Callithrix jacchus: one gene and its partners. The protein of the gene in region 1 purifies or fractionates together with the protein of each later gene. This does not show direct contact. Links are inferred from orthologs where the notes say so. Each region holds a gene or a part of one and is shown on either strand. Other genes may lie near its edges. The genes, in order: GET3, BAG6 and UBL4A.

Evidence for each region.
Region 2: the proteins of GET3 (region 1) and BAG6 purify together in Homo sapiens (co-immunoprecipitation; 5 studies listed by BioGRID and IntAct, with this or other methods). This does not show direct contact. The link is inferred for Callithrix jacchus from reciprocal best matches to the Homo sapiens genes GET3 and BAG6.
Region 3: the proteins of GET3 (region 1) and UBL4A purify together in Homo sapiens (affinity purification with mass spectrometry; 4 studies listed by BioGRID and IntAct, with this or other methods). This does not show direct contact. The link is inferred for Callithrix jacchus from reciprocal best matches to the Homo sapiens genes GET3 and UBL4A.

Annotation. Positions count from the first base shown.
Region 1 is NC_133523.1:11,555,221-11,565,344, forward strand, and holds the start of GET3 (ATPase GET3), read left to right. Parts: upstream 1-3,864; 5' UTR 3,865-3,873; coding exon 3,874-4,034; intron 4,035-4,889; coding exon 4,890-5,037; intron 5,038-10,124. Other genes in the region: TRIR (telomerase RNA component interacting RNase), read right to left, coding at 153-497.
Region 2 is NC_133505.1:39,149,953-39,160,199, forward strand, and holds the start of BAG6 (large proline-rich protein BAG6), read right to left. Parts: upstream 5,041-10,247; 5' UTR 4,952-5,040; coding exon 4,920-4,951; intron 4,832-4,919; coding exon 4,711-4,831; intron 1,351-4,710; coding exon 1,233-1,350; intron 1,119-1,232; coding exon 922-1,118; intron 688-921; coding exon 634-687; intron 475-633; coding exon 400-474; intron 1-399. UniProt on the Homo sapiens protein: ATP-independent molecular chaperone preventing the aggregation of misfolded and hydrophobic patches-containing proteins.
Region 3 is NC_133524.1:150,277,895-150,288,335, forward strand, and holds UBL4A (ubiquitin-like protein 4A), read right to left. Parts: upstream 5,043-10,441; 5' UTR 5,020-5,042; coding exon 4,972-5,019; intron 4,775-4,971; coding exon 4,669-4,774; intron 4,442-4,668; coding exon 4,233-4,441; intron 4,140-4,232; coding exon 4,029-4,139; 3' UTR 2,260-4,028; downstream 1-2,259. Other genes in the region: SLC10A3 (P3 protein), read right to left, coding at 5,965-7,540, 8,323-8,438. UniProt on the Homo sapiens protein: As part of a cytosolic protein quality control complex, the BAG6/BAT3 complex, maintains misfolded and hydrophobic patches-containing proteins in a soluble state and participates in their proper delivery to the endoplasmic reticulum or alternatively can promote their sorting to the proteasome where they undergo degradation.

The DNA of each region.
Region 1 (10,124 bases):
CTCTTGTCGGGAATCCAAGTTCCACATCCTCAGAGGGTGACCCCGACGCCCCCCCCCGAAAGTGAACCTCGGTCCCGATCCCCCTTCACGGGCCCCGACTCCCGCTTTCAGGACAGGCCCTGGCGCCCGCCCCCACCCCCACGGCTCCTTACGAAGCTAAGTGTGGGGCCCGGACCGCCCTTCCTCTTCGGATCCCCGGGGCCCGAGGCGGCGGCCGACTGGTCCGGTCGCTGAGGACCCGGGGGCGGCTCCTCCTGCCGCTGCCGCTGCTCCTCCTCCATCTTCCGCTTGAACAGCTCCAGGAAGCTGCCGTCGTTGGCGAACAAGTTCACGCCGCCCGACACCGGGCTCGAACCCGCGCCCGACACCTCCTCGTCGCCGCTCTCGGGCGACGTCCCCGATCCCGACTCAGCCCAACGGCTTCCACCACCGCCACCGCCCGCGGGGCCCGGCGCCTCCCGGCCTGGAGGCTCCGCCCGTCTCCCTCGGGCAGCCATTTTGTCGCCAGGTGCCGCGCAAAGCACTCCGGGAAAGCCGCTCCGGCCCCGCGCTTGGCGCCCGACTCTTCTCGTCCCGAACAATGCATGATGGGAAGAGGGGTCCGGCCCTCGAGAGTCCGCAGTTGAGGCGGGGAGGGGGCGGGGCGATGAGAGGACCGACCCAAAGAGGCGGGGCTGGGGGAGGGGCCCCGCCTCACGGGTTTTTTTGTTTCTTTGTTTTTTTTTTTTTTTGAGACGGAGTTTTCGCTCTTGCTGCCCAGGCTAGAGTGCAATGGCGCGATATCGGCTCACCGCAGCCTCCACCTCCCGGGTTCAAGCGATTCTCCTGCCTCAGCCTCCCGAGTAGCTGGGATTACAGGCACGCGCCACCACGCGGGCTACTTTTTGTACTCTTAGTAGAGACGGGGTTTCGCCATGTTGGCCAGGCTGGTCTCGAACGCCCGACCTCAGGTGATTCACCAGCCTCGGCCTCCCAAAGTGCTAGGATAGCCGTGAGCCACCACGCCCAGTGGCGGGAGGCCGAGGCAGGAGAATCGCTTGAATACTGGAGGTGAATGTTGCGGTGAGCCGAGATTGCACCATTGCATTCCAGCCTGGGCAACAAGAGCAAAACACCGTCTCAAAAAAAAAACAAAAGAAAAATAGAAAATTAGAGACGGGCGTCTGGCTATACTGCCCAAGCTAGGTCTCGAACTCCTGGCCTCAAGTGATCCTCCCGCCTTGCCCTCCCCTCCCTAAGTATTGGGATTACAGACATTAGCCATTCGGCCCAGTCTGGCGAGGTTTTGTTGTTTGTTTTTTGGAGACAGAGTCACACTCTCACCCAGGCTGGAGTGCAGAGGCGGGATGGTGGCTCACTGCAGCCTCGACCTCCCAGAGCTGAGGTGATCCTCCCACCTCACCCTCCCTAGTAGCTGAGAAAACAGGCATGCGCCACTATTCCTGGCCAATTTTTGTGTGTGGAGATGGGGTTTTGTCATGTTCCCCAGGCTGCTCTCGAACTCCTAGGCTCCAGCAATCCTCTCACCTCAGCCTCTCAAAATGCTAGGATTCCAGGCGTGAGCCACCGAGCCCTGCCTCGCGGGTTTTCAAAATTCAGCAGTACTCGAGCTGGTGTTCCCCAGACAGGGGCTCCCCTAGAATGAGACTGTTGTCTGAGACTGAGGCTGTAGCTTGCTCTCTGGAGTGTAGTTTTACTCGGGGCTAGGAGCAGATTCGCTTTGCAGGGTTAGAATCCCTGTCTGACACCAATAATAATCTCTGTGAGGGGAAGCACCTCATTTGGGGCTGTGTGCTCAGCTGACACCTAGGAACTTGAGTCCCCAACTAGGAATAGAGAGTATTTCTAGCCTGGGCCCCCCACGTAGAAATTGGGGTATCTCTGGGTTGGATACCCATCTCTGGGATAAAGCTTACATTTAATGAGGACATAGCTTGCTCTGTGGAGCTGAGGTCCCTGAGAATCAGCTTTTTTTTTTTGAAACGGAGTCTCACTCTTTCGCCCAGGCTGGAGTACCGTGGTGCCATCTCGGCTCACAGCAACCTCCGCCCCTCACCGGGTTCAAGCGATTCTACTGCCTAAGCCAACCGAGTAGCTGGGATTACAGGCTCGCACCACCAGGCCGGGCTAATTTATTTTTAGTACAGACGGTATTTCACCATGTTGGACAGGCTGGTCCAGAACTCTTGACCTCAGGTGATCCACCACCTCGGCCTCCCAAAGTGCTGGGATTACAGGCATGAGCCCCCGCGCCCGGCCGGATTCTACATACATGTTAACCAGTTTATTTTATGACCTGTAGTATTCAGATGAAGTCGGGGTTATCTCTAGGCCCTAGTCTCTGTCTAAAGTTAAGAGTATTGGCCGGGCGCGGTGGCTCATGCCTGTGAACCCAGCACTTTCGGAGGCCGAGGAGGGCAGATCACGAGGTGAGGAGATCCATCGTGGCCACGGTGAAACCCCGTCTCTACTAAAATACTAAAAATTAGCCGGGTGTGGTGACGCGCGCCCGTAGTCCCAGCTACTCAGGAGGCAGAGGCAGGGGAATCGCTTGAACCCGGGAGACGGAGGTTGCAGTGAGCCGACATCGCGCCACTGCACTCCAGTCTGGCGACAGAGCAAGACTCGGTCTCCAAAAAAAAAAAAAACAAAAAAAAAAAAAAAAAAAAAAAACACTCACTTTGGGAGGCCGATGCTGGTGGATCACGAGGTCAGGATATCGAGACCATCCTGGTCAACTTGGTGAAACCCCGTCTCTACTAAAAATACAAAAAATTAGCTGGGCATGGTGGCGCGTGCCAGCTTCTCAGGAGGCTGAGGCAGGAGAATTGCCTGAACCCAGGAGGCGGAGGTTGTGGTGAGCCGAGATCGCGCCATTGCACTCCAGCCTGGGTAACAAGAGCAAAACTCCGTCTAAAGAAAAAAAAAACCTTTAGAGATGCTTCTGTATTTACCCCTATTTGATAGATGAAGAACTTGAAGCGCAGAAAGGCTAAGTGACTTACCCAAGATCACACAGCGAAAAAAAAAAAAAGTATTATGGGGTGAGATCTTCATCAGGGGCCTGGAACCCAGCTTGTGTTCCTGCTCCAGGACAGAAGTTCGAACGTGAATTATGGTATACTGGAGTCTTCTCTTGAACAGGAGAAATGCAAGGAAGCTTTTAGGAATTAGGGTCCCTTCTGCGAAACTGAGCGCAATTGCAGGCATGGAGCCTGCTCAGCATGGGAGATGAGGGAGTAATGGTTAAGAATGCGGACTTGCACACTCTAAGCCACTATCAGCCCCAGGGATTCATCTCCAGCCGAGTCAACTCTTCTATGATTGGATTGTGGGAGGAACCAAGTGGCTAACAACCAATTGAATAACAGAAGGGGCGGAACCAAAGGGGAGGTTCGGATTCAACGTGAAGAATAGAGGGAAAATGATGGACATAAAATTGAACCTATGGAGTCAGGCCAAGGCGGACCTGGACTCTAACTTCTCCGAAAGGGCAAGGACTGGGTGTTTGGCTGGTTGCTAAGGAGAGGTTGGCGCTACCGGAACGTGAGAGTGATTGGTGAAAGTAAGAAAAGATCTAGCCAATGAAAAGAGCGCCGCAAGATTTATGGCCCAATCAGTGAAGAGGAGTACCCTGGACCGTACTGATGTGCTCATTTGGTAAGGGGAGTCCTTGGAGAAATACAGACCAGAGGTTAACAAAGTGAACCCTGGAAGCAAAGAATAGTGAAAACATAATTTATATTTCTCCTGAAAGGCAAGTCATGAGGAAATTAATTCATGCTTATAGCCTCGATGGGAATGTGCTAGAGGATTTCCCCTGTAGGTGCTTCGCATGGTGTGCTCCGCTTGATCACGTGAGCCAGTTCCAAAATGGCGGCAGGGGTGGCCGGGTGGGGGGTTGAGGCAGAGGAGTTCGAAGACGCGCCTGATGTGGAGCCGCTGGAGCCTACACTTAGCAACATCATCGAGCAGCGCAGCCTGAAGTGGATCTTCGTCGGGGGCAAGGGTGGAGTGGGCAAGACCACCTGCAGGTACGGAGCCTGCTGCGGGAGCCAGGAGCCGGGTAGGGTATGCCACTGGGCGTAGGGGAGGCCAAGTACCGGCTTTTCCACCACGAGCGGGGCAAGGCGGGTGGCGGGGGTCTTTGGTTTCACACTCTAGAAGTTACCTGGAGCAAATGGGAGATAACTCCTCAATGCAGGCCTAGCACCCTCTGAGTTGGACCATCACTGTTGGGGCTCAAGTGCTGAACCACAGTGAACTCAGTGCTCGAGGGACGGGGGAGCACTTAGATATCCCCATCATCTGGACCGTACCTGAGTGAAATCAAAGTTGTGGGTAGGGATTGGACCAAACAATCAATCCTAGTTCGGTGAACCTTGCTGTTTTACGCCCAAGGCGAGAGTGAGGGCGGAAAGGGAGGGAGAGGGCACATGATCAGAGTGTCCCAGGTAGCTGCAGGCAGGAAGTGTCCGTGGGGCAGATTATCCTGGACAAGTGGACTGAACCATCCTGTGCTTAGCAAGGAATGGAAGGGACCCCCCCCCCCTCCAGCTTATTAAGGAAGGTGGCACAGAGTCACGCTATGCTGGCTGGACAGCGGGGCCATACCACTGTGTGCCCAGCAAAGAAGAAGCGGGCACAAGGCCAGATGGACTCAGTCAGCTGAACCTTAACTCTCTAGTCCAGATTGAGGGTTCAGTAGATAAATCAGAGAGGGGTCCTTTTTAGGGATTGAGGCTTAATCCCACGGTAACCCATACTCTTCTCTCAAGGCCCCTGTTGATCCGGGTCACCTGCTTTAAGGAACCTGTCACTCCCCTTGCAGACCCAGGGAACAGAGCCCAACCCCTCATCCCCCATCTTTTGACTTTTCCGTTACCCAGCTGCAGCCTGGCAGTCCAGCTGTCCAAGGGACGTGAGAGTGTTCTGATCATCTCCACAGACCCAGCTCATAACATCTCAGATGCTTTTGACCAGAAGTTCTCAAAGGTGCCTACCAAGGTCAAAGGCTATGACAACCTCTTTGCTATGGTGAGTGGAGCAGGGCTTAGCTCCCACTTCTGGGAAAGACCCTTCCAGCCTTTCTTGTGCACACACATCAGCAGCCACCATGTCCTATCCATTCTGTATCCTGTATCTCTCCTGTTTCACCCCTTCCTCAACATACTCACAAGGGAACGAATGAGGAATTGCGGAGCAGGAAGGACACCAGAGTGCCTGAAGCTTAGAGAGCCAGGGTAGGGGAAGGAGAAGTTGGAAAGACCAATCAGAGCCACATGGTGTGGGACCTTACAGTGCACGGTAAGCAGTTGGGCGTTGACTCCAGGTTTAATGGGAAGTTGTTTGTTTTAAGCAGGGCAGTGTCATGGCCAAATTCATGTTTGAAAAGTACCCTCTGACAGCTAAGTGGAGATTCAGTTGTCAAGGAAAGTAATGAGGTTGGGGCTGTAACCAGTTGAGAGATGACAGCATCCTGGACTGTGGTGGGACAGAATGTTGGGGGAGAAGCAGTCAGATTTGGGAATTCATTTACTTATTTTTTTTAGACAGTCAAGACTCCTCTGTTGCCCAAGCTGGAGTGCAGTGGTGCAACCTCAGCTCATTGCAACCCCTGCCTCCCAGGTTCGAGCAATTCTTCTGCCTCAGCCTCCCCAGTAGCTGCCATTACAGGCATGTGCCACCATGCCCTGTTAATTTTGTATTTTTCATAGAGACAGGGTTTCACCGTGTTGGCCAGACTGGTCTCCAACTCCTGACCTCAAGTGATCTGACTGCCTTGGCTTCCCACAGTGCTGGGGTTGCAGGAATGAGCCGCATCGCACCAGGGACTTATTTAACAGAAGTAAATTAGTGAGATTACTTGGTCGGAATGGGTGAGAAAAATAAATGAACTAGTTACATGTTTTTATTTTCTGAGCAGCTAGGATGCGGAAAACTAGTAAAGGAGTAGGTTTAGAAGGGACAAGTCAAGAATGTCATTTAGTCCGCAGCGAATCTGAGGTGCCCACTGAAAATCCAAGTGGAAACATCATGACAGTAGCTTGTTTACGTGAGTCTGGAGCTCAGAGGAGATTGTTACTGATTTGGAAGTCACTGACCCAAAGGTAGCATTTAAAGCTGTGTGAAGGCTGGACCTGGTGGCTCACACCTGTAATCCCAGCACTTTGAGAGGCCAAGGTGGGCAGATCACTTGAGGTCAGGAGTTCAAGACCAGCCTGGCCAACGTGAAACCCTGTCTCTACTAAAAATACAACAAAATTAGGCAGGCCTGGTGATGCATGCCTGTAATCCCAGCTACTCGAAAGGCTGAGGCAGGAAAATCACTTGAACCTGGGAGGCAGAGGTTGCAGTGAGCCGAGATCGTGCTATTGCACTCCAGCCTAGGCAACAGAACGAGACTCTGTCTCAAAAATTAAAAAAAGACACAGAGTCTTTTGACATTAAAAAAAAGACACAGCCATGTTGCCCAGGGTGGTCTCGAATTCTTGGGCTGGAGAAGTAATCCTCCTGCCTCAGCCTCAAGTGTAAGGTACTGCATCCAGCCTCAGACAGCTTTTCTTTTCTTTTTTTTTTGAGATTGAGTCAGTGCACTGTAAGCAGTTGGGCATTGACTCCAGGTTTAATGGGAAGTTGTTTTAATCAGGGCAATGTCATAGCCTACCAAACTGCTGGGATTACAGGCGTGAGCCACCGCACCCAGCCTATTATTTATTAATTTTTTTTTTTGAGACAGACTCTTACTCTGTCGCCCAGGCTGGAGTACAGTGGCTGAGTCTCTATTCATTACAACCTCCACTTCCCGAGTTCAAGTGATTCTCCTGCTTCAGCCTCTCGAGTAGCTGTGATTACTACCACCATGCCTGACTCATTTTTGTATTTTTAGTAGAGATGGTGTTTTGCCACCTTGGTCAAACCGATCTCAAACTCCTGACCTCAAGTGATCCACCTGTTTGGCCTCCCAAAGTGCTGGGATTACAAATATAAGCCACTGTGCCTGGCCTGCAAAACCCTGTCATTACAAAACAATTTCAAAAAATTAGGTGAGTGTGGCCAGGTGCAGTGGCTCACGTCTGTAATCCCAGGCCACTGTGCCTGGCCATAAACACTTCTTAAGGTAGCAGGGGGAACCAGAATTATCCAGTTCATCAAGTGCCCATTGGAAATTTGTGTTCAGAAAAGGGGAGCAAGGGCCAGGCACAGTGGCTCACACCTGTAATCCCTTTGGGAGGCCAAGGCAGGTGGATCAAAAGGTCAGGAGATTAAGATCAGCCTGGCCAAGATGGTTAAACCCTGTCTCTACTAGAAATACAAAAATTAGGCTGGGTGTGGTGGATCACAAAGTCAGGAGTTTGAGAACTTGCCAACAGAGTGAAACCCTGTCTCTACTAAAATCACAAAAAATTAGCCAGGCATGGTGGCAGGCACCTGTAATCCCAACCACTCAGGAGGCTGAGGCAGGAGAATCACTTGAACCTGGGAGGTGGAGGTTAAGCCAAGATCGTGCCACTGCACTCCAGACAGGGCAACAGTGTCAGGCTTCGTCTCACAAAAGAAAAAAAAAAAACAGCCGGGCACGGTGGCGGGCGCCTGTAGTCCCAGCTACTTGGGAGGCTGAGGTAGGAAGATTGCTTGAGCCCAGGAGTTCTGGACTGTAGTGCGCTATGCTGACTGGGTGTCCACACTGTTTGGCATCAGTATGGTGACCTCTTGGGAGCGGGGGACCACCAGGTTGCCTAAGGAGGGGTGAACCAGCCCAGGTTGGAAATGGAGCAGGTCAAAACTCCTGTGCTGATCAGTAGTGGGATCGCGCCTGTGAACTGCACTCCAGCCTAGGCAACATAGCAAGACCCCATCTCTAAAAGAAGAAATACAAAAATTAGCCAGGCGTGGTGGGCACTTGTAATCCCAGTTACTCGGGAGGCTGAGACAGAGAATTGCTTGAACCCGGGAGGCAGAGGTTGTAGGGAGTCTACATTGTGCCACTGCACCCCAGCTGCACAACTGAGTGAGACTCCATCTCAAGAAAAAAAAACAAGGACGGAAAAAAAAAGTAAGATGGGAATAGTCTTTAAGAGAGTGTTCAGGCCCTCGAGTGCAGTGATGAAAGAGCTGGAAAGCCACACCTGTAATTTAGTGCTTGGGGAGACTGAGACAGGAGGATCACTTGAGGCCAGGAGTTCAAGGCCTCATTGCCAGCCTGGGCAACAAAGAGAGACCCTTTATGTACAAAATACAAACAAACAAAATTAGCTGGACGTGGTGGTATATGCCTGTAGTCCCAATTAGTTGGGAGGTTGAGGCAGGAGGATCACTTGAGCCTAGAAGTTTGAGGCTTCGATGAGCTATGAATGAGACACTATCTCTTTTTTTTTTGAGACAGAGTCTCACTCTGTCTCCCAGGCTGGAGTGCAGTAGTATGATCTCCGCTTACTGCAACCTCCACATCTCGGGTATAAGCGACTCTCCTGACTCAGCCTCCCAAGGAGCTGGGACTACAGGCGGGTGTCACCACACTCAGCTAATTTTTTTGTATATTTAGTAGAGACAGGGTTTCACTTGTTAGCCAGGATGGTCTCGATCTCCTGACCTTGTGATCCACTCACCTTGGCCTCCCAAAGTGCTGGGATTACAGGTGTGAGCCACCATGCTAGGCCTGAATTTTTTTTTTGTAGAGATGGGGTTTTACCATAGTGGCCAGGCTGGTCTTGAACTCCTGACCTTAAGTGATCTGCCCGCCTTGGCCTCCTAATGTGCTGGGATTACCAGTGTGAGCCACCTCGCCCCGCCAAGTTGCTATCTCTTAAAGAAAAACAAAACAAAACTGGAAGCAACCAGGGTGGGGAATTTTGCCAATAGCAGGGAGAAAGGGAGTGTTTGCAGAGGTAACCTATGGAGGCTGGGCTGGACACGGGTGCCAGTCAAGAGGGGCACTGACAGCTTACAAGGGGCCAGGTGAGGGGATAAAGTGGTCCAAGAGGCTTAGAATAACTGAGGCATGAGAGGAGGTTAAGGTTAGAGAGTGGGTACTAGGACGTGGTGAGGAGTGGGCAAGCTCCCCAACAGGAAATGACCCCTGAGGCCAGCGAGTTGGGTGCTTCCCCATGGGAAATCACCAGCAAGTGGTGACACAAGAAGGATAAAGAGGGAGGCATTGAGTCTGAGACTGGCCAGGGACCTCAGGCATGGCCATCCCTTCATGGTTTCTACATACATGTTTGTTTTTTGTTTGATTTTCCTTGCGGTTTTTTGAGACAGATTCTCGCTTTGTCACCCAGGTTGGAGTGCAGTGGCACAATCTCAGCTCACTGCAACCTCCCTCCCCACAGGTTCAAGTGATTCTCCTGCCTTAGCCTCTCAAGTAGCTGGGATTGCAGGTGCCTGCCACCGTGCCCAGCTAAGTTTTTGTATTTTTAGTAGAGACTGGGTTTCGCTATGTTGGCCAGGCTGGTCTCACACTCCCGACATCGGGTGATCTGCCCACTTTGGCCTCCCAAGGCTCTGTGTCCACAGGGAATACAGGTGTGACCCACCCTGCCTGGCCACATGTTTCTTTTGTTTTGTTTGTTTTGTTTTTGAGACAGAGTCTTACTCTATCTCCCAGGCTAGAGTGCAGTGGTGTGATCTTGACTCACTGCAACCTCTGCCTCCCAGGTTCAAGCGATTTTTCTGCCTCAACCTCTGGAGCAGCTGGGATTATAGATGCCCACCATTATGCTTGGTTAATTTTTGTACTTTTAGTAGATGCGGGTTTTCACCACGTTGGCCAGGCTGGTCTAGAACTCCCAACCTCAGGTGGTCTGCCGTCCTCGGCCTCCCAAAGTGCTGAGATTACAGGCGTGAGCCACTGTGACCAGCTGGATTCTACATAGCTGTTGACCCATGTGCCAGAAACTGTTCATGCTGAGTGCTGGGGACAGAGCTAGCTGGTAAAACCTCTGCCCTCGAGGGGCAGACATTTCTGTTGTAGAGACATACAATAAACATAAGGGAACTATGTGGGATATGAGGAAGGGCTAATTATTATTATTATTTTTTTTTTTGAGATGGGTCTTACTATATTTCCCAGGCTGGTGTCCAACTCCTGGGCTCAAGTGATTCTCCCATCTCAGTCTCCTGAG
Region 2 (10,247 bases), on another chromosome or scaffold:
CTGGGCATGGTGGTGCACGCCTGTAGTCCCAGCTACTCGGGAGGCTGAGGCAGGAGAATTGCTTGAACCCAGGAGGCAGGGGTTGCAGTGAGCCAAGATCGTGCCATTGCACTCCAGTCTGGGTAACAACAGCGAAACTCCGTCTGAAAAAAAAAAAGAGATCCCATGAGACAAATCTGAAACAAACTCCCCAGATACCAGGCACCAGGCACCAAGAGGACTGGTAGAAATGAGAGCAGCTCACAAAGATACGTTTTTCTGTCCAAAAGAATGAATACTGCAAAGAAGTCTAGATTACGAAGGCCAAACCCTGTGAATGTGGCCAGTTATGCCCCAACCCCCAGGCTGAGAGAAAAGGGGGAAGGTGGGGAGAGACTCTAGCCAGCCTTGCCCACTTACCTCCATCCGGGATAGTAAGGTCTGTATATCCCTGATCATGTGCTGAGCCATCACCAGCCGTACCCGGGGCTCACTCTACAATGAGAGAAGAGTGATCAGGGTAGGTTACAGATGAAGCCATGAATTCTACCACCTACTAAATCAGGTCCCAGCCATCTTTCAACCAGGTCTACCCCACCTCCCAGCCTCCTTCTCCCAGATCCCCTTCCCTGACCCTCCAAGGCCCCTCAATACCTGAATCGGGGCCTGTTCCATGTTGATGTGAACATCCACAGCAGAGCCGTCACTCTGGGGAAAGGGTAAGGGAAGTTGTTCTGGGAGAAGCCAATACTAAGGCCTCCACTCTTCCGATTCATTCCCTGGAGCCCCGCTCTCTTTTCTCCTTAAACACTGACACCAATAGCATACCACAGGGCCCCCTGAACCCAACCTAAAGATGGAAGCATCTATCTTATTAATACCCTGCTGCTACCACAACCAAAGCTACCCACAAAGACCCTCCCCTGTGGAACATAAGCTTACAGGAAGATTGAAGGTTCCAACCATGACATAGCTGTTGGCATTCCGGTCATGAACAGAGGCCCCAGGCCCCCGAGTACCAGGCGGGGGTCCCCCACCATGAGTGGCTGAGGCAGACCCCGTCCCAGAAGATGCCCCAGAAGGGAGCTGAGTCTGAGGAGGAGCCCGTTCCACCAGGTGGATAACCTTTCCCCCAACATCTGCAGAAAAATAGACACACACCAAAACATAGTATGAACAGGTAAACCCGTGGCCTCAACTCAACACTCCAGATAGCAGTCTCAACGTCTCAACTGCCTCCCCAGTCGCCTTACTATATTCCTGGAGCTTCTTATCATCTTGCAGAACTCGTCCCTGGTAAATGAGCCGTTGTTTTTCAGATGGGATGCTGACAGAGGCAGCAATGTGCTCCTTAAACTCTTTCACATTCATCTGCAAGGAAGAGAAGGTATGCACAGGAATGGAAAGAATAGAGGAAAGAGGAAGAACAGAGACGGACAACTGACAGAATCACCACCCATTTGTCTTGACTGTGAGGTAATCACCGTGCAAACCCTTAAACTGAAGTAACAGCTGTCAAAATATAGACAATAAACTTGGCTGGGTGCAGTGGCTCACACCTGTATTCCCAACACTTTGAGAAGCCAAGGTCAGGCAGATCACCTGAGGTCAGGAGTTCCAGACCAGCCTAACATGATGAAATCCTGTCTCTACTAAAAATACAAAAATAATTAGCTAGGTGTGGTAGTGGGCACCTGTAATCCCAGCTACTAGGGAGGCTGAGGCAAGAGAATCATTTTAACCAGGGAGGCAGAGGTTGCTGAGATTGTGCCATTGTACTCCAGCCCAGGCAACAGAGTGAGACTCCATCTCAAAAAATTAAATAAATAAATTTAATGAAGCTCAGGTTATATATAGGTCCATGAAAAATAACATGGATGAGAAACAAAACAAAAAAAACATCTGGACATTACATTCTCTGCCTGGCTCCCACGGGAATGTGTGTCTGAAACATCAGTGACCCCTTTCCAAACACAAAATGATACCAGGAGTTTATTTATCAGACTCTCCTATAATTCCCAAGATTAAAAAATGGCAAAGAAGATGGGGTCTGGAATCAGGTTAATGAAGAAAAACTGGCCAGGCACGATGGCTCAAGCCTGAAATCCCAGCACTTTGGGAGGCCAAGGCGGGTGGATCACGAGGTCAAGAGATCGAGACTCTCCTGGTCAAATTAGTGAAACCCCGTCTCTACTAAAGATACAAAAAATTGGCCGGGCGCGGTGGCTCAAGCCTGTAATCCCAGCACTTTGGAAGGCCGAGGCGGGTGGATCACGAGGTCAACAGATTGAGACCATCCTGGTCAACATGGTGAAACCCCGTCTCTACTAAAAATTACAAAAAAATTAGCCGGGCACAGTGGCGCATGCCTGTAATCCCAGCTACTCAGGAGGCTGAGGCAGGAGAATTGCCTGAACCCAGGGGGCGGAGGTTGCAGTGAGCCAAGATCGCACCATTGCACTCCAGCCTGGGTAACAAGAGCGAAACTCCGTCTCAAAAAAAAAAAAAAAAAAAAAAAGATACAAAAAGTAGCTGGACATGGTGGCACATGCCTGTAATCCCAGCTACTCAGGAGGCTGAGGCAGGAGAATTGCCTGAACCCAGGAGGCGGAGGTTGTGGTGAGCCGAGATCGCGCCATTGCACTCTATCCTGGGTAACAAGAGCGAAACTCCGTCTCAAAAAACAAAAACAAAAACAAAAAAAAAAAAAAGAAGAAAAACTAAGAAAGTAGCAAAAAAGGACCTGGCGCATCACACCTGTAACTCCAGCACTTGGGGAGGCCAAGGCAGGTTCGTCACCTGAGGTCAGGAGCTCGACACCAGCCTGGCCAACATGATAAAACTCTGTCTCTACTAAAAATAAAAAAATTAGCTGGCCGGGCGCGGTGGCTCAAGCCTGTAATCCCAGCACTTTGGAAGGCCGAGGCAGGTGGATCACGAGGTCAAGAGATCGAGACCATCCTGGTCAACATGGTGAAACCCCATCTCTACTAAAAACTACAAAAAATTAGCTGAGCACAGTGGCGTGTGCCTGTAATCCCACCTACTCAGGAGGCTGAGGCAGGAGAATTGCCTGAACCCAGGAGGCGGAGGTTGTGGTGAGCCGAGATTGCGCCATTGCACTCCAGCCTGGGTAACAAGAGCGAAACTGTCTCAAAAAAAAAAAAAAAAAAAAAAAAATTAGCCATGCGTGGTGGCAAGCGTCTGTAATCCCATCTACTTGGGAAGCTGAGGCAAGAGAATGGCTTGAACCCAAAAGGCGAAGGATGCAGTGAGCTGAGATCACACCACTGCCCTCCAGCCTGGGCAACAAGAGCAAAACTCCATCTTAAAAAAAAAAAAAAAAGTAGCGATAAAAACAAAAACGTTTTTCCTAACTAGAGACTTACTCTTGATAAAGTGTTTACACGCATCTAATTACAACTCTATATATGGCTTTCTTATATCCAGCTAATACCATGTTTTAGAAAACCACGGACCAACTCACATGCAATTCGTCTCTATTACAGGAATAAAGATATAGATAGCTGTGTCCAAGGCTTTAAGCTCAAAAGACTCAAGCTATGCCACAAAAATTAGTAATTTCCCTCAACAGTCTATCAAGGCTCAATCTCCATTATGAGTTCTGATTTCTATCCTTTAAAAACACAGCACAGACCTGACCATTTTCTATCAATAAGATACACTTGCTTAGGGTCCCTGCGCTGTTTCCCTTCCCAAAGGCCAGAGCCATGTCTGTCCCTTTGGGGTGGATGATGACACACAGATTCTTCCTCACTCTGTTTCCCTCTGCATTAAGTTCTATCCATGTGGAGGACAGAACAAAATCAGCCTCACTCACAAAACATCAGAAAACGTTCCACTGGAATACAAACAAAGGAATCAATGAAAAGAAAATCTGAGATCAGGTGTGGTGGCTCATGCCTATAATCCCAGAACTTTGGGAGGCCTAGGTGGGCAGATCACCTGAGGTCAGGAGTTTGAGATCAGCCTGGCCAACATGGTGAAACCCCATATCTACTAAAAATACAAAAATTAGCTAGGTGTAGTGGCTGTAATTCCAGCTACTTGGGAGGTAGAGGCAGAAGAAACACTTGAACCTGGGAAGTGGAGGATGCAGTGAGCTGAGATCACGCCACTACACTCCAGCCTGGGAGACAAAGCAAGACTCCATGTCAAAAAAAAAAAAAAAAAAGGCAGGGCATGGTGGCTCACACCTGTAATCCTAGCACTCTGGGAGGCCGAGGTGGGTGGATCACCTGAGGTAAGGAGTTCAAGACCAGCCTGACCATCATGGTGAAACCCCATCTTTAAATAAATAAATAAAAATTAAAAAAAAAAAGGGCCAGGTGCCATGGCTCACACCTGTAATCCCAGCAATTTGGGAGAGTGAGGCAGGCCAATCACAAGGTCAGGAGTTCCACATCAGCTTGACCAATATGGTGAAACCCGTCTCTACTAAAAATACAAAAATTGGCTGATGGCAGGTGCCTATAGTCCCAGCTACTTGGGAAACTGAGGCAGAAGAATCACTTGAACCAGGGAGGCGGAGGTTGCAGTGAGCCTAGATGGCGCCACTGCACTCCCGCCTGGGGGACAGAGGGAGACTCCAACTCCAAAAAAAAAAAAAGAAAGAAAGAATAAAGAAAATCTGATGACCACAAAATCAGGCTAAGAGGCTTAAAAGAGGAAAATCTAAATGTGTCTTCCAGAACTTCTAAGGTGTCTCACCTGGGACCCCACAATAAAGGTCCGAGTTTGAGAGTCCAGGGTCTTCACCAGCACCTCCAAACTGTCAGGCTCCTCCACAGCCGTACTGGTACTATCATTAGGCTCCATGGCCGACAGCTCTCTAAAGAAGAATGAAGAAGAAAGGCCCGTTGTCTCCCAGAGCAGCGTGTACCCGGAAGCCTCCCTAGCATTAATCCCTGCCCCAATACCTAAAAAGTTTCTCCTGTACAAACACACACATTCACACTTGCCCCCATCACCCTTGTAATTCCGGGGCACAGGGAGAGAAACACAAAGGGCAGGAGATCGACGGCATAGGAGCTGGAGGACAAGAGGTGGGAGGGGCTCCACGATGCCAATCACAATAAGGGGGGAGCCAGTCAGATTAGGAAAAAAGCACGAGACCAGAGACCAGTGTCATCACCGGTCACGACGGGACAAACGCCCCAGAGGTCACAAAATCCTGGGACAAGGCGAAAGCGGGGGTCGCGCCACACACTGCGGAGAAAGTGGTTTCGCGCACGCGCGCCACGCCCGTCGAACCCTAACTCACTAGACCCAAAACGGCACTCACGGGGCGCCGTACGAGCTAGCTGACTGCCCTCGTCTACTGCCTTCCCACGGTGTTCCAGCAGAACCGCACAACTAACCTACGGCCAACCACAACCACACACACACACATACACACACACCCAACGACCCCGCGGCTCCGCCCCCGACTTCCCCACGGACCGTCACTTCCGGTCTCCCCCAACCTGCCACCGACGGCCACTTCCGTTTCCACGATAGTATTTGGGGATCTCAAGGCGATACTTCCGGCTCCCCCCAGGTCCCCAAGCTTTACTTTTGTGGGGCACGACGAGAAAGTCCACAGCCCCAGTGAGTTTCTGAGGGCGAGTCGGGCCGGGGCCGGCCTAGGTGGGAGGGAGCCGAGGACCCCGAGGAGCCGCCGCCGCCGTCGCCCAGGGGACCGTACTACGCCTGCGTGCGTTGCACTACGTATGCGTACACACTGAAGCACCGCTCCACCCCCCTCTGTCGGCTCTCGCTTCTCCTATGCGAGCTCTTGAGCGCTGGAAGATTGAGGTGGCTACTGTAAATGCCTGAAAAACAATCGCCAGATGGGAGTCCACCACTGCTTCGAGAGGGGCTATGGACGGTCGCATGGACCTTGGATTTGGAGATGGAGGATTATGCCACATTAATCTATGTTTAAATTTTGGCAGGCTGAGAATTTCAGGCGGCACTGTCCTAGCCAGCTAAAACTCTTCCCGACCCTATCGCCCTCGCTGCGCCCTTCTTTCTCCGCCACCGGAAGTTACTTTCAGTAGGCATTTGGGGGCGGCAAGGATGTATTTGGGTTTTGGTTGGTTGTTTGGGCTAGATATCGGTTCTGCCGGGTGGGCGTTTTGCGGGCTGTGGGTGTCACGTTCGTCGGCGGTGTGCGGCCAAGGGGACATGACACGTTTTAGGAAAACTAAGCATGCTACTAACTCGCAGGACTTTTTTCAAGAAATGAGGCGCCTCCGAGTTTGAGAATTGGGAGCAAATGGAGTCCGAGTGGACCAAAAGACAAGACCCTGACGGTGGGGAATTGAAAGGCCGGCCAACGTGCTTCCGAAGGCTGGGGTGGAGGCATTACCGCCTCTCCGTGCCCTCTTCTTTTAAGCTTTCCTAAGAAAAGGGCCTCGGCCTCGCGAAACTGCGAGTCTTCCAGAAAGCACATCGTTGCTGGGGTGCCCAGCCTTTCTGGGATTCATAGTTTATACCCAGGTTCTGGTTATATTTTAGTTAAGAGTTCTAATAAGCAGCTGTTTTAATGAGCACTTCTGCCAGCCCACATACTAAGGGTTTTGTGTATTGTCTTATCTTAACCAGCCTTTTAACATAAGCGTTTTAACATTTTATAGGTGAGTACACTTAGACGAACTAAGTGGGAGAACTGACAAATCTAGGCCTACAGGAGTCCAGATCGAGCACTTGTACTTTACTGCCCCAATAAAGAATTGTTGTTGTATTTTAGCTTCTTTTTTTTTTTTTTTTTTTGAGACAGAGTTTAGCTCTTGTCCAGGCTGGAGTGAAATGGCGCAATCTCGGCTCACCGCAACCTCCGCCTCCTGGGTTCAGGCAATTCTGTCTCAGCCTCCCGAGTAGCTGGGATTACAGGCATGCGCTACCATGCCCAGCTAAATTTTTTTTTTTTTTTTTTTTTTTTTTTTTTTATTTTTAGTAGAGACGGGGTTTCACCATGTTGACCAGGATGGTCTCAATCTCTTGACCTCGTGATCCACCCGCCTTGGCCTCCCAAAGTGCTGGGATTACAGGCTTGAGCCACCGCACCTGGCCTACATTTTATTTATTATGTACACACATTTTTTTTTTTTTTTTTTTTTTTTGGAGACAGTCTTGCTGTGTCGCCCAGGCTGAAGTGCAGTGGCGTGGTCTTGGCTCACTGCAGCCTCCGCCTCCTAGTTGCGGTCTTGGCTCACTGCAGCCTCCGCCTCCTAGTTTCAAGCTATTCTCCTGCCTCAGCCTCCCGAGTAACTGTGACTATAGGCGCCTGCCACCACGCCCAGCTAATATTTGTATTTTTAGTAGAGACGGTTTCACCATGTTGACCAGGATGGTCTTGATCTCCTGACTTCATGATCTGCCCGCCTTGGCCTCCCAAAGTGCTGGAATTACAGGCGTCAGCCACCACATCCAGCCTATTTTATTTTTTTAGAGAGGGTCTGGCTTTGTCTCCCAGACTGGAGTACAGTGGCACAATCACAGCTCACTGCAGCCTCTGCCTCCCGAGCCCAACCAATCCTCCCACTTCAGTCTCCCAACTAGTAGAGACCACAGATGCATGCCACCACACCCTGCTAATTTTATTTTTCTGGAGATAGAATCTCGCTGTGTTGCCCAGCCTGGTCTTGAACGCTTGGCCTCAAGCAATTCTCCCACCTTGACTTCCCACAGTGCTGGGATTATAGGTATGAACTGCCGTGCCTAGCCACATTTTAGCTTTTTATTATAAAAATTTTCAAACATAGGTGGGGCGCAGTGGCTCACACCTATAATTCCAGCACTTTGGGAGGCCGAGGCGGGTGGATCACGAGGTCAAGAGATCGAGACCATCCTGGTCAACAAGGTGAAACCCCGTCTCTACTAAAAATACAAACATTAGCTCGGCATGGTGGTGTGCGCCTGGAGTCCCAGCTATTCAGGAAGCTGAGTCAGGAGAATTGCTTGAACCCAGGAGGCGGAGGTTTCAGTGAGCCGAGATCGTGCCGTTGCACTCCAGTCTGGGCACTCCAGTCTGGGTGAAACTCCGTCTCAAAAAAAAAAATTTTTTTTTCAAACATTACACCAAAATAAAATAGTATGATGAACTGTAATATACTGGTCACCCAAAAAAATTTTTTTTCCAAATTTTGTTTTTAACAAAAACACAAGCCTCATCCCTTAGGGCAAATTTTTTGTGGCAGCCCATGGGATATAAATAATCTATCAAGCTAGGCATGGTGGCTCATGCCTGTAATCCCAACTTTAGGAGGCTGAGGTGGGCTGATTGCTTGAGCTCAGAAGTTTAATACCAGCCTGTACAATATGGTGAAACCTTGTCTCTACAAAAAATTAGACAGATGTGATGGTGTGTGCCCATAGTTCCTACTCCAGAATCATCTGAACCTGGGAAGTCAAGGTCGTAGTGAGCGGTAATCATACCTGGGCAACAGAGTGAGACACTGTCTTAAAAATAAATAAGTAGGGCCTGGCACGGTGGCTCACGTCTATAATCCCAGCACTTTGGGAGGCCGAGGTGGGTGGATCACTAGGTCAAGAGATTGAGACCATCTTGGTCAACATGGTGAAACCCCCATCTCTACTAAAAATACAAAACTTGGCTGGGCATGGTGGCGCAACCCGTAGTCCCAGCTATTCGGGAGGCTGAGGTAGGAGAATTGCTTGAACCCGGGAGGCAGAGGTTGCGGTGAGCCGAGATCGCACCATTGCACTCCAGCCTGGGTAATAAGAGTGAAACTCCACGTCAAAAAAATAAAGAAGTAGGGCTGGTCCGATGGTAGTGGGTATCAGAACTTATTACCAGTGTCACTAAAGTTGGTGTACAGCCCCCACCCCCAACTGCTAAATTTGACTGGCTAAAAAAATAAGTAGGCTGGGTGCAGTGGCTTACACCTATAATCCCAGCACTTTGGGAAGTTGAGGCAGGCAGATCATGAGGTCAGGAGTTTGAGACCAGTCTGGCCAACATGATGAAACCTCATCTCTACTAAAAATACAAAAAAGCCTGGCATGGTGGCAGGTGCCAGTAATGCCAGGTACTCAGGAGGCTGAGGCAGAGAACTGCTCGAACCCAGGAGGTGGAGGTTGCGGTGAGCCAAGATTGCGCCACTGCACTCCAGCCTGGGCAACAGATCGAGACTCTGTCTCAAATAAATAAATAAATACATAATTATCAAGGAAGCCCCACATCTCAGAGCATTAGCTGTTCCAGTCACTTGGTGCTGTCGAATGACAGCCTGTTTGGCAATTCTTACCATCTATTATTTGAGAACTTACTACCCACCAGAAACTAAAGTGCTTAGCAAACATTACTATTAATTGTAGCAAATACATACTTTGGACTTACCATGCGCAGTCTTTGCTAAGGGCTTTATGGGCATTATTTCATTTAATCCTATGAGATTGAAGATTTGCCAATTTTACAGATGAAAAAACAGACATAGTAGTTAGGGGTTGGTGGGTTTTTTTGGTTTGTTTGTTTTTTGTTTTTTGTTTGGAGACAGAGTCTCACTGTGTCGCCCAAGCTGGAGTGCAATGGCATGATCAGGGCTCACTACAGCCTCCACATCCTGGGCTCAAGCAATCATCTCACCTCAGCTTCCCTAGTAGCTGGGACTACAGGCGTGTGCCACAACATCCAGCTAATTTTTTGTAGAGACAGAGTTTTGCAATGTAGCCCAGGCTAGTCTCGAACTCCTAGGCTCAAGTGATCAGCCCACCTTGGCCTCTCAAAGTGCTGAGATTACAGGCATGAGCTACCATGCCCCACCTGTAGTTAGGGTTTGGACATGTTCTGCCTGACACCAACATCTATCCTCTTTAATAGACAGATTATGTAGTCTCTTTGTAGTAATAAATGTTGAGTGAATGAACATATTTGTGTCAGTGAACATTGCCAGGGTATACATATTTTTCCAATTATAAACTAGAGAGCAATCCACTGTGCCCCAGCATCTGCATCATAGCTGCTCAAAAGCACTTAATCGGGTTGTATTGCACTGGTTTGTCTACACAGCCAGTTTTTCCTATACTGACTTATGTCCCTGGGGATTAGCCAGTTCTTGGGAAACACCTGGAACTCAAAAACAGTTTGCTAAGTGAATGAATGAGAGGCCCAATCAAACTACTTCTCTTCAGCGCCATACAGTGCAGCTCACATACAGGCTCACATACGAGTTCAAAGACCACAGGCTTCTACCTGGACAGCTCAGCTCTCCTCATAACTCCTGAGAAACCCTAGACATGCC
Region 3 (10,441 bases), on another chromosome or scaffold:
TATTTATACATTTATATATAAAATTTATAATATATATACATTTATATATATTATATATATATATATGTGGTAGAACTCCTGATCACCAGGTCAGGAATTCGAGACCATCCTGGCTAACATGGTGAAACCCCAACTCTACTAAAAAATACAAAAATTAGCTGGGCGTGGTGGCGCGTGCCTGCAGGAGAATTGCTTGAACCCAGGAGGCGGAGGTTGCAGTGAGCCAAGATCATACCACTTCACTCCAGCCTGACGCCTGGCGACAGAGCGACACTGTCTAAAAAAAAAAGAGTGAGAAAAAGGAAAGGTTTTTATAGAGAAATGGCAAGTAATAGGTATAGAAAAAAGTATCAGAAAATTACCATTTTTGTAACCATCAATGTAATAATTGTTATTAACTTAATAATTGATTCAGGATGGCCGGGAAGGGTGGCTCATGCCTGTAATCCCCGCACTTTGGGAGGCTGAGGTGGGTGGATCTTGAGGTCAGGAGTTTGAGACCAGTCTGGCTAACATAGTGAAACCCTGTCTTTACTAAAACTACAAAAAAAATTAGCTGGGTATGGTAGCACACGCTTGTAGTCCCAGCTACTCAGGAGGCTGAGGTGGGAGAATTTCTTGAACCAGGGAGGCGGATGTCGCAGTGAGCCGAGACCACACCATTGCACTCCAGCCTCGGTGACAGAGTGAGACTCTGTCTCAAAAAAAAAAAAGAAAAAAAGTTGATTCAGGCAAGGATTATCACTGGATGGCAAAACCATTAAATGAAAGGATATTCTCAAAGTCTCCAAGTATTACCCCAAATTACCTGTGAATCAGGAAGGGAAACTGCATCTTTACAGGCGAGAGATCTGGCAGCTGCCACCTGGGTTACGTGATGAAACTGAGTGTCCCCAACACTGGGGCAGCCTGACCCTGCCTGCCTCCTGATGTGGGGGCTGGGGGCGAGTATGCTTCCAAAAATATTCTTGCCTGATTGCCCTTCAGTCAGGTGGGCATGGAGAAAATGTGTGTGCTGAGGAGCTGGCCAGTGCTGGACATGAGTGTCAAGAGGGAAGGGACTGTGTCTCCCAGTCTCAGGGTTGCCAGCACTTGGGACACAGTGGGCACTCAGTGATGAGCAGGTGCTGTCTGGGAGACACGGGCTGGAGCTCAGGAGAGAGGGCTGGGATGAGACATAGACGTGGGAGTGAAGCACAGAAATAGAAACTAAGTAGGATGAGCTCCCCTAAGGAGTGATACAGAGAGGGAAGAGGTGTTCAGGGACTGAGCCCTGGGACCTCAACATTGAAGGTTGGGGTGTGTGTGAAGAACCAGCAAGAGAGCCTGAGAAGGAGCAAGCAGTGGAAACAGCAGGAGAGCAAGGGTGTAAGATGGTGAGGAGTGGCCTGCCAGTCATTCAGTGGGGCCCCAGGGGTGTGTACAGGCCACTCCAGCTGGGTCCTGGAGGACAAGGCAGTTGCTAGGTGTCTCTCATCTCTCCTGAAGGCGTTTCAGGGCTGGGAGGCTCAAGGCTGGCCACAGCTGCCTGCCACATCTACTCCTGGGAGTACCAGGCCCCGGCAGATCTATTAAGAGCTGGTGATGCCCACATGGGATACCTGCAAGGTGCTAGCAAACTGTGGGTACAGCGAATCCATTTCTAGGGAGCCTCCCCACCCCAAGGCAAATGCTGCTGTCCTCTGAGGCTGCTCTTCCTGCCGTGGGCCCTTCACTTATGCTGCCATCTCCTGACACACACCATGGCTGCAGAGGTCAGGAACTGTCCCGAGGCCCCTCCTTGAGGGGCAAAGGGTAGTGGATGACTCAGTGCCATCTCACAGAGCAGACGATTTGCTCAGAGGGGTGCAGCACCTGCAGTAAACATTCGGACTCCTGTTAAAGGATCTCAGCATTTGGGGGCTGGAGCCTGTGGCTGCTCCATCTTCATGCAGTCCCCCCACTTCCCATCTCCCATCCCTGCAATGTTTCCTCCCTCTCGTGCCCTCCCTGATGCTTCCCCTGATTTTGATGCCTCCAGCCCTCTCCTCCACTACCTCCAAGGTGACCCTGATCTTTCTGACACATGTATGGCCCCTGTAGTAGACCGCTGCCATTTGCAGCCACAATTGAGGACATCCATTCATCCAGCCCTCCCCCAGAGCCTTCTGTCCCTTGCACAGCCCATCCAGGGAAGTGGCCCCATGCCTAGCTCAGGGAGACAGCCCTGATGGAGAATTACCCTCTACCGCGGCCAAAATGATTGGACACACAGTCCAGTTGTGACCAATGAGAAGAGTGTTTATTTGCTGGGGCATCTGGCAGTGAGGCAGGGATTCCATGCAAGCTGCAGGCAGCCATCTTTTCATCCTTGGAGGTGATGGCCTGGGATGAAGCAGATACGAACGCAGAGGGAGGCAGGAAGACACTGGGTGAAATTGCTCACCTGCTGCCAATGCCAACACCACTGGACTTTTCCTTTCATTAAGTCAAGAAATTTCCTGTACTGATTCAACAAATTGCCTTTATTTTTAAACCAATTATTGGATACCAGAAGCAGCCTAGCTAATATAGCTCCTTTGGATAAAAGTAGAAGTTTCACGTTCACCTTTAATGTTATTTCACTTTCCAAAATTAATTTCCTGGCACCAAACAAGAACCCTGGTAAATGTATCACCTGAGCTGCAGGCCACACATGCTCACAAGCATGTCCCTCCACATATGGCTTTGAAGCCACATACATGGCTTTCCAGCTCTCGTGGGTGGCCAGGGGCTTTTGTGTGCTCTTCAGAGCCTTCACTCATTCGGCCTCTGCCCATATTTCCAGCCTGGGGACCCAATATTTGGCCCACAAGGCCCAGGCAGGAGGGTCTCCAGCACGTGCAGCCCTGACCACACTGAGCTGCTCCCTTGGCAAGGGTGGAGGGGCTGGAGTGGTGTCTTCCTGCCTGTGGCTTCCTTCCAGCCTCTACCACCCCTGGGGGCCTCCTCCAAGGAGCAGGCACTTCAATGTCCTCTAGTGCCCATGCGCAGGGCAGGGTGGAGGAGGAACTGGAACCCAGCCCATGCTTCTGCCCCTGCCTTGGCACCCCAAGGTTTCCTCTCAGGCAATAAGGAGCATACGAAGTAAGCCCCCGCACACAGATGGCTGGGATGTATTCGTCTTCCACATGGTGGCAAATGCTGGGGATGAGGATAAATGCCTACACCAGTCCCAGCTCTGACACTGCCTTTCTGAGTCACCCATCAGCCCTAATGCTTCCTGGAGGAGGAGACAAGCAGACAGGGTGCCCCAGAGAAGAGCTGTGTCACCAAAGGCCAGGACACCCATCTCTGGGTCACACTTGGCCATGCTTTGCTTTTGACTTCAGTTCGTTTATTGAACAGAAGGGAGAAGAGCACTGTTAACACTCCCCACCCTGGGCTGGGGTAAGGGCGGAGAACACTGACTCAGATCAGGAAGTGGCCCTCACCCTATAGAGTCTGTGGCGGGGGACCAAAGTGGCACTGAGACTTGCCCAAAGTCATATCACAGAGCTGGGGTGACTTTCTCACTCCCTGGCCCCAACCTGCTTTTCCATTTGTAGAACGCTCACTAGCTGTAGCAGCTGGGGGATCCAGGGCTGGCTGCAACTTGGCCTCCTGCAGCAGTGAGCTGAGGGTTAATGCTGGACCCGCCAGAAGTCAGGTGACAACTGCTTCCCCTTTCAGGCTTGGGAAGGAGTTGCTTGAGTGTATATTCTCAGTGGGCTAAATATGACAAGTGAGCTCAGCTCTCCAAGCAGCCCCTTCCTCCTTGTCACATCAAGGCACTTTCAGAAGCTGCTGGACTCCAACTGGGGCTCCTCCCCTGCGTCGCCCCCGCTGTGCTGGCTCTCCTCTTCCAAGGGTGTGGAAGCAAACCCAGGTCAAGCTGTGAGTGGTGCCTAGCACCTGGCCAGAGCCAGGTACCTGCCAGCTATTATTATGAGCCCAACTGCAACTGAACACACGTTGTGTGATGTTCAGCCGTGGCCTGGCGTTGGGCACCTCCCTATGCTCTGAGAATGCTATTTGGAGAAGCCCTTCTCCATCGTCTCAGTCACTTCTGGATGCAGGAAACGGCCAGCCAATCGTTCGATGTCGTCCAGTGTCAGGCGGCTCAGGGACCTCTCGTAATCCTGGGGAGAGAAAGGCAGGAAGATTCAGGGGATGGCAGTGGGGGGCTGGGAGCAGCTGGGCCTAGAAAGGATGTCCAGGGTTGCCCTTCTCACCCTCTGTAGCTGTTCCAGGACCCTGCTGGCATCTGCCGCGCTGAAGTGACGGGCCAAGACTTTGGAGATCAGCTGCCAGACCTGCGGGGGTGGGGAGTCGGCCAGTCTCCGGCCAGTGCCTTCTTCTAGTAGCACCTTCTCCAGGGGTTTGACCACTAGGTTGAGCTTGGAGTTGGGCCCGATGCTATAATCCGAGAGTCGTTTCCCATCTGCCAAAGACAGATCGATGAGTTTCTCCCTGCCGCCGTGGGGGTGGCCCAGGACACGAGGCCGCTTCGGGCTGCGGGATTCAGCTTTGCAGCATGCGGTCGTCTACCCTGGAGTCAAGTGGCGCTGGGCGCCGGCACCCCGACCCGTCACACGGCTGCCGAGGCGGCCAGAGCACCCTGGCCCCGCTTCCTGCGGGGCTCCCTGGGCGTCTCCTCTCCCTGGGTACCTGCCAGGGCCTTGCCCTTGAAGAGCAGCCGCTGCTGGCGCACGGGGACGTTCAGCTTCTCTGAGACCAGCTGCTTCAGCGTGGACACCAGCTCGTCCTCCGGCACCTGGCCGCGCCGAGGGTGGGAGGCAGGGATTGAGCCCGCGGCCCTCGGTCGACGAAGCCCACGCGTCCGCTACCGAGGGCGGCTCTCTCGGCTACCAGCCCCCGGCCCGGCCGCCCCGTGCCCGCCCTCGGCCCTGGCGGTCCTCCTGTTAGGGGCGGGCGACTGACGGGCCCGGCAGCCCGGCCCCGGGACCCTACCTGCAGGCTGCAGTCGCGGCCCTGCAGCGCCTTCACCGTCAGCTGCATGGCGGCCGCGGCGGCGTCCACTCGGGCGGGCGCGCACCCCAACCACCCCCCGCCGCGCGCCGCCGCCCCGGTCGCGCGCCGGATCCACCCGCTGCCGCCGGAAGCAGCAAGAGGGGCGCGCCCGCCGCCCGCGCTTCCCGGCCCCGCCCTCCTGTCCCGTTCACGCCCCCCACCCCAATTGCGCCCCGGGAGGAGGAGTCCCCCTGGGGTTCCGCCTCGCAAACGCGCAGCGACTGCCCTAGCCGGCGGACCCTTCCCAAAGCCACAGTGCGGGGAATTTGGGAGCTAGAACCCGTCGGGTCAGGTTGGCGTCATGTAGGAGCTGGGGCATGGAGAAGGAAGGGCCAAGAGTTACGCTCGCCCCCGCGGATGGCCTGAACCACCCCACATATCCTGACAGCTGGCGGAGCCGGGCCCTGCAAACCCACAGACGGCCCGCCCCCACCCCCTGCCCGCTGGGTTTCTGCCTCCTCCTTTCTGGTCTGGCTGCAAAACACCCCACCGAGTTTGAGAGCGGGCAGGGGAGCCAGGCCTCTGCTCTCATCCTCCCACCTCTCCCAGAATGGGGACATTCCTGGGGAGGGCTGATAGAGAAAGCCTGTGCATGGGTCACCGTGTCATCCAAGCTGGTCCTCCACCCTGGTCCACACCTACCCAGCACACTCTACCCCCAAGCCCAGGCACCAAAGGGCAAAGATTGGAAGGGACCCAAGCTTGCTTCTGTCTTTTATTGAAATATATTTTTGGGGCAGTGCCCACCTACCTAACTCAGCATGGCCTCCTTGGCACTGAAAGCTGGAGAATAAAAAAATCAGTAAAAAAAATAAGCCTGGATTTTTCTGAGTGCATAGTGCATGAGAACTAAAGGCCTTTGGTACACAAGAACTCTGGGGACAGTAGGTGGAGTGTGGAGGCTGGGACTGACGAAAGCTTGACCCAGAGGCCTCAGGGAACTGGGAACAGGCTGCTGTAGATGAAGTGGCCGATGACCAAGGCCAGCATCTCAGAGGTGCCACTCAGTGCCACAATGAAGGGGGCCTGGGAGGCATAGTCAGCCTGAAGGCGGCGGAGGGATAGCTGTAGCATGGCCAAGGCCAGCAGGCTGTTCTGCACCCCTACCTCAATGCTGACTGTCCGCCGCTGGGCCACTGGCAGCCTCAGACACGTGGCCAAGCAGTAGCCCACCAACAGGCCAACCAGGGGCACCGTGATACCCACCAGCACGATGGGTAGCCTGACGCCTGCCAGGATGAAGACCCCCATGCGATAGGCCAGGAAGAGGCCGCCCAGGAGGAGCACAAAACTGAAGGGCTTGATGACCTGCAGCAGCAGTTGGGAGAACTTGGGGAGCTTGGATTTGATGAGCACACCCACTGCTATGGGGATGGCAATGAACAGCAGGGTCCCCAGGATCTTGGATATGGGCACGTGGAGTGTTTCATGGACACTGAGCAGGCGGCTGTAGATGGCTGAAGACAGTGGCAAGAAACCAGTGGCAGCCACCGTGGAGATGAACGTCATGGAGATGGCCAGTGTGACATCCCCTCCAAGAAGGAGGCTGAAGAGGTAGCTCCCCCCGCCGCCAGGCGACGAGCAGGTGATGATGAGGCCCAGAGCGAGGGCCTTGGGCAGCATGAAGACCTTGGCCATGAGGAAAGCGTATAAGGGCATGACCAGAAACTGGCCCAGGAGGCCCAGCAGCATGGGCTGGGGGCTCTGCAGGAGCCCCTTCAGAACCTCAAGTTCCACTTTGCACCCAAACGAACACTTATTGACAAAGATAAGAGGCAGGAGCAGGTAGAGTATTGGGTTTTCCGAGAAGTGGGCCAGGTGGGCGCTGAGGGCGGCAGGGGTGTCTTCAGCAGGTGAGACCTTGATGCAGAAATCTCTCCGTTCCTCAATCACTGTGGGCAGTGCCTCATGGGCGCCCATGAGCTGGATGTGGAGTGGGGCCAGCCCAGCCATGCCGGAGTGGATGCTCACCACGAAGCCGCCCCCACCTCCCCAGGTTATGGCACTCACGTTCTTGATGGTCAGCACCTCTGTGTCCAGGGATGTGACCCTCAGCGTGGGGCTGGGTCCTGTCCCGTTGGCCTGGCCTGGGTACTGGCTGGAGATCACGATGATGCCCTCACTCTCCTCAGGAAATTCAAACTCCATCACAGAACCATCTCCAATGCTCAAGTAGCGGCCCCCAGTCAATGGCACAGTGTGGCCCACAGCGGTGCTGAGGCTGGTGCTGGCTGTCCCTTGGGCCCCCCATGGTAGGCTGATGAGCAGCAGGGCAGCTCTGAGCATGTCTACGGGACCTGTGCCACCACCTCTGCCTCCCCGACCAGGCCACTGCTGAGAGCTGTCCCTGCCCTGCATTGACACCATGGCTCCTCCTGGAGGACGGATGTCGCGCCCAGGCCCTCTGTGGCTTAGGAGAGCATCCCCACTGGTGCTATCAGGTTGTCCTGAGAAGGGTTCATGGGTGGGTCCTGGTCCTGTGCTGCCTTCCTTGATGGCAGGGCTCTCCCTGAGGAGGTAAGGGACACAGAGAGGTGGCTGGTGAGGGTGTGCAGTCAAGAACCCAGGAGCATGGGGATCTGGAAGCCCATGGTAAGAGTAAAACTCAGCAGGGACCCTTGCCCCATGCTCAGGAATGGAGAGGCAATGCCTGGTGTTGGCCCCTGAGTACCATTCGGCTGTGGCTTCCTGGCCTACTCTACCTGCTACTACAGTGCCTCGGTGAGGGTTCTGCTGGGGACAGGTCCTCCCTCCCCAGGGAAGTTGCCAGAAGGGGCAGCAGGAGTGGGTCAGAGCCACATGTCTACTGGGGGGTTTATCTTCCTTTTGTCAGTGCTCCCACTGGTCCCAGAATTTGAGCTCTCAGAGCTGCTGTGTTACATCTGAGAGGCTGTGCTGAGTCCAGGGCTCCTCCCCGTGCTCAGGTGCACCCTACCAGAGCCTCAAACTCTCAGTGGAGCTGTGAGTGTTTCTAGGGGCCAGCAGCACCTCCCTCCAGTTCTCAATGTGGAGTGTCCACCATAGTGTCACATCGCCTGCTAGAATTGGGGCAACCAGGAAGGGGCCACAGCAGCTTAACATCACTGCTGTCAGTTGCTTCATGCACTGTTTTGTCCCAGTCCTCTGTAGATCCTATCAGTCTTCAGCCCTGGCCTCCTGTCATCTGAGCCTGGGGTGAGGTGAAGTAGGGAGCAGAGATTAGGTTAAGTCACAAGTTCATCCCTGGGAGCCTCCCCTATCCCTACTTCAGGATGATATGGCCTCTGCTGGCTTGAAGTTCGGGTCACTTACCCTGGAGGCCTTGGTCCAGCCACGTGTCTTACCTCTGAAGAGGGAGACAGGAAAACCAGTGGGGTGGGAGAAGCAAAGTAGAGGGGCAAAGATGAAGGTAGCAGGACTACAGCCATCACGGTGGCATGAACCAGTTCAGGAGGGAAAGGTTAGGGGCCATCCAACCCCATGCCCCATCCCTCCAGAAGGGCTGTCGGCTCTGAGTCACTGCAAGAGGGGTTTGGCTCAGATCCCACACCATTTCTGCTTGAGGGGCCGACAGAGTTTGAGCAGATGCACCCACAAGGCAGGGGAGGGAGTCCCGGCCCGGATGGATGCTCTTTGCACGTCGGCCATGTGTTCGGGGTAACTGGCAGCGCTGACACGGGCTCCTCCCTACCTGGGAGTCCGGAAGTTGTCGGACGGGTCGCTAGCAGAGCTTGGGTGCGAACCTGGGAGGGAGGAAGGGAAGGGCACGCTGCCGTCCCACAGCCGGCGACCAGCTCGGGCCGTCTCGAGGTCTGGGGAGGACCGTTACGCCATTCCTGGGTCCCGCGGCTGCGCCAGGCCTCGCGAACGCGCGGCGGCGGTGGCAGCCCTTCCCTGACAGGCCCGGCCGGGCGCCCGAGTGAGCGATAGCGGAGCGGGGTCGGGGCCAGAGGCCACCTCCCTTCCGGAGGCTCTCACCTGCCACAGCCACCACGCAGCTCAACTGCAGCGCCGGCCCGGCTGGCAGACGCCCGCGAGCTTGGCCCGTCAGGGCCCCGCCCCGTCGAGGCCCCTCCCTACCCCGCCCCGCCGAGGCCCCGCCCCGCGCGTCAGGATTCCGCCCTCCCTCCGCGTCCCGCTCCACTCCGGCGGTTCTCTGGGTTCCGACCGGATGTGACCTTTCTGGGAGCGACGCGCCGGCGCCGGAGCGGGAGAGCTGGGCTGGCAGCTTCCTGCAGCTGGTTGGTGCCCGGCGCTGCCTGGACCAATCGCTTGGCAGTGCATCTGAACCTGTTGTGATCGTTGACCACGTTGCCGCTCAAGGGTGCCCAGGCCTGGAGCTCCAGGGCTGAGTTTGACAGACCAGGACGCCAGGCTCTGTGCGGAGTTCTCCTTTCGTTCAAGCATTAACCCAGCGCCTATTTCTATTCTTTTTTCTTAGATGGAGTCTCTGTTACCCAGGCTGGAGTGCAGTGGCGCGATCTCGGCTCACCGCAACCTCCGTTTCCCGGGTTCCAGCAATTCTCCTGCCTCAGCCTCCCAAGTAGCTCGGATTACAGCCGCGCGCCACTACACCCTGCTAATTTGTGTATTTTTCGTAAAGACGGGTTTTCACCATGTTGGCCAGGTTGGTCTCGAACTCCTGACCTCGTGATCCGCCCGCCTTGGCCTCCCGAGCCACTGCACCTGGCGAGCGCTCTTTCCTTTCTCCTCCCTCCCTTCCTTCTCTCTTTCACTATTCTCCTGCTTCAGCCTCCCAAGCAGCTGTATTACAGGCATGCACTACCCTGCCCGGCTAATTTCTGTATTTTTAGTAGCGATGGGGTTTCACCATGTTGGCCAGTTAGTCTTGATCTCCTGACCTCAAACAAACCACTTGCCTTGGCCTGGGATTACAGGCGTGAGCTACCGCTCCCAGCCAAATAGTACAATTTTAATAAATTTATTTACATTTAAATTTGTTTTAAAAGTTTGTTTATTTACGGACAGAGCCAGACCCTGTCTGTAAATAAATAAACTTTTAAAAATGTTTATGAGAATGAAAATTTCATTTTAGGCGTGAGTGCAGTGGTAATCACTGCAGCCTTGAACCCCTGGGCTCAAGCGATCTTCCTGCCTCAGCCTCCCAAGTAGCTGAGACTATAGGGGCATGTCACCATGCCCAGCTGAAAAAGGTTATCTTTGTGTGTGTTTTACAAAGTTCAAGTTAGTATGTGCACATGATATAAGCAAATATAGACATGCTGAGAGTTCTTAAAAGAGTTTGATGTGTGGATGATTGGGAGATCAGTAAGGCAGAAATGATTTGTGTGTTATTACTTGTTCTGGAAAGGTTCTGTCCCTTTCAAACAGGGTTGAAGGGTCCTGCTAGAACAGGTGAGAGGGCTGGATTGCAATGTGGAATAGAGCAGTCAGAGTAGGAACCATCTGA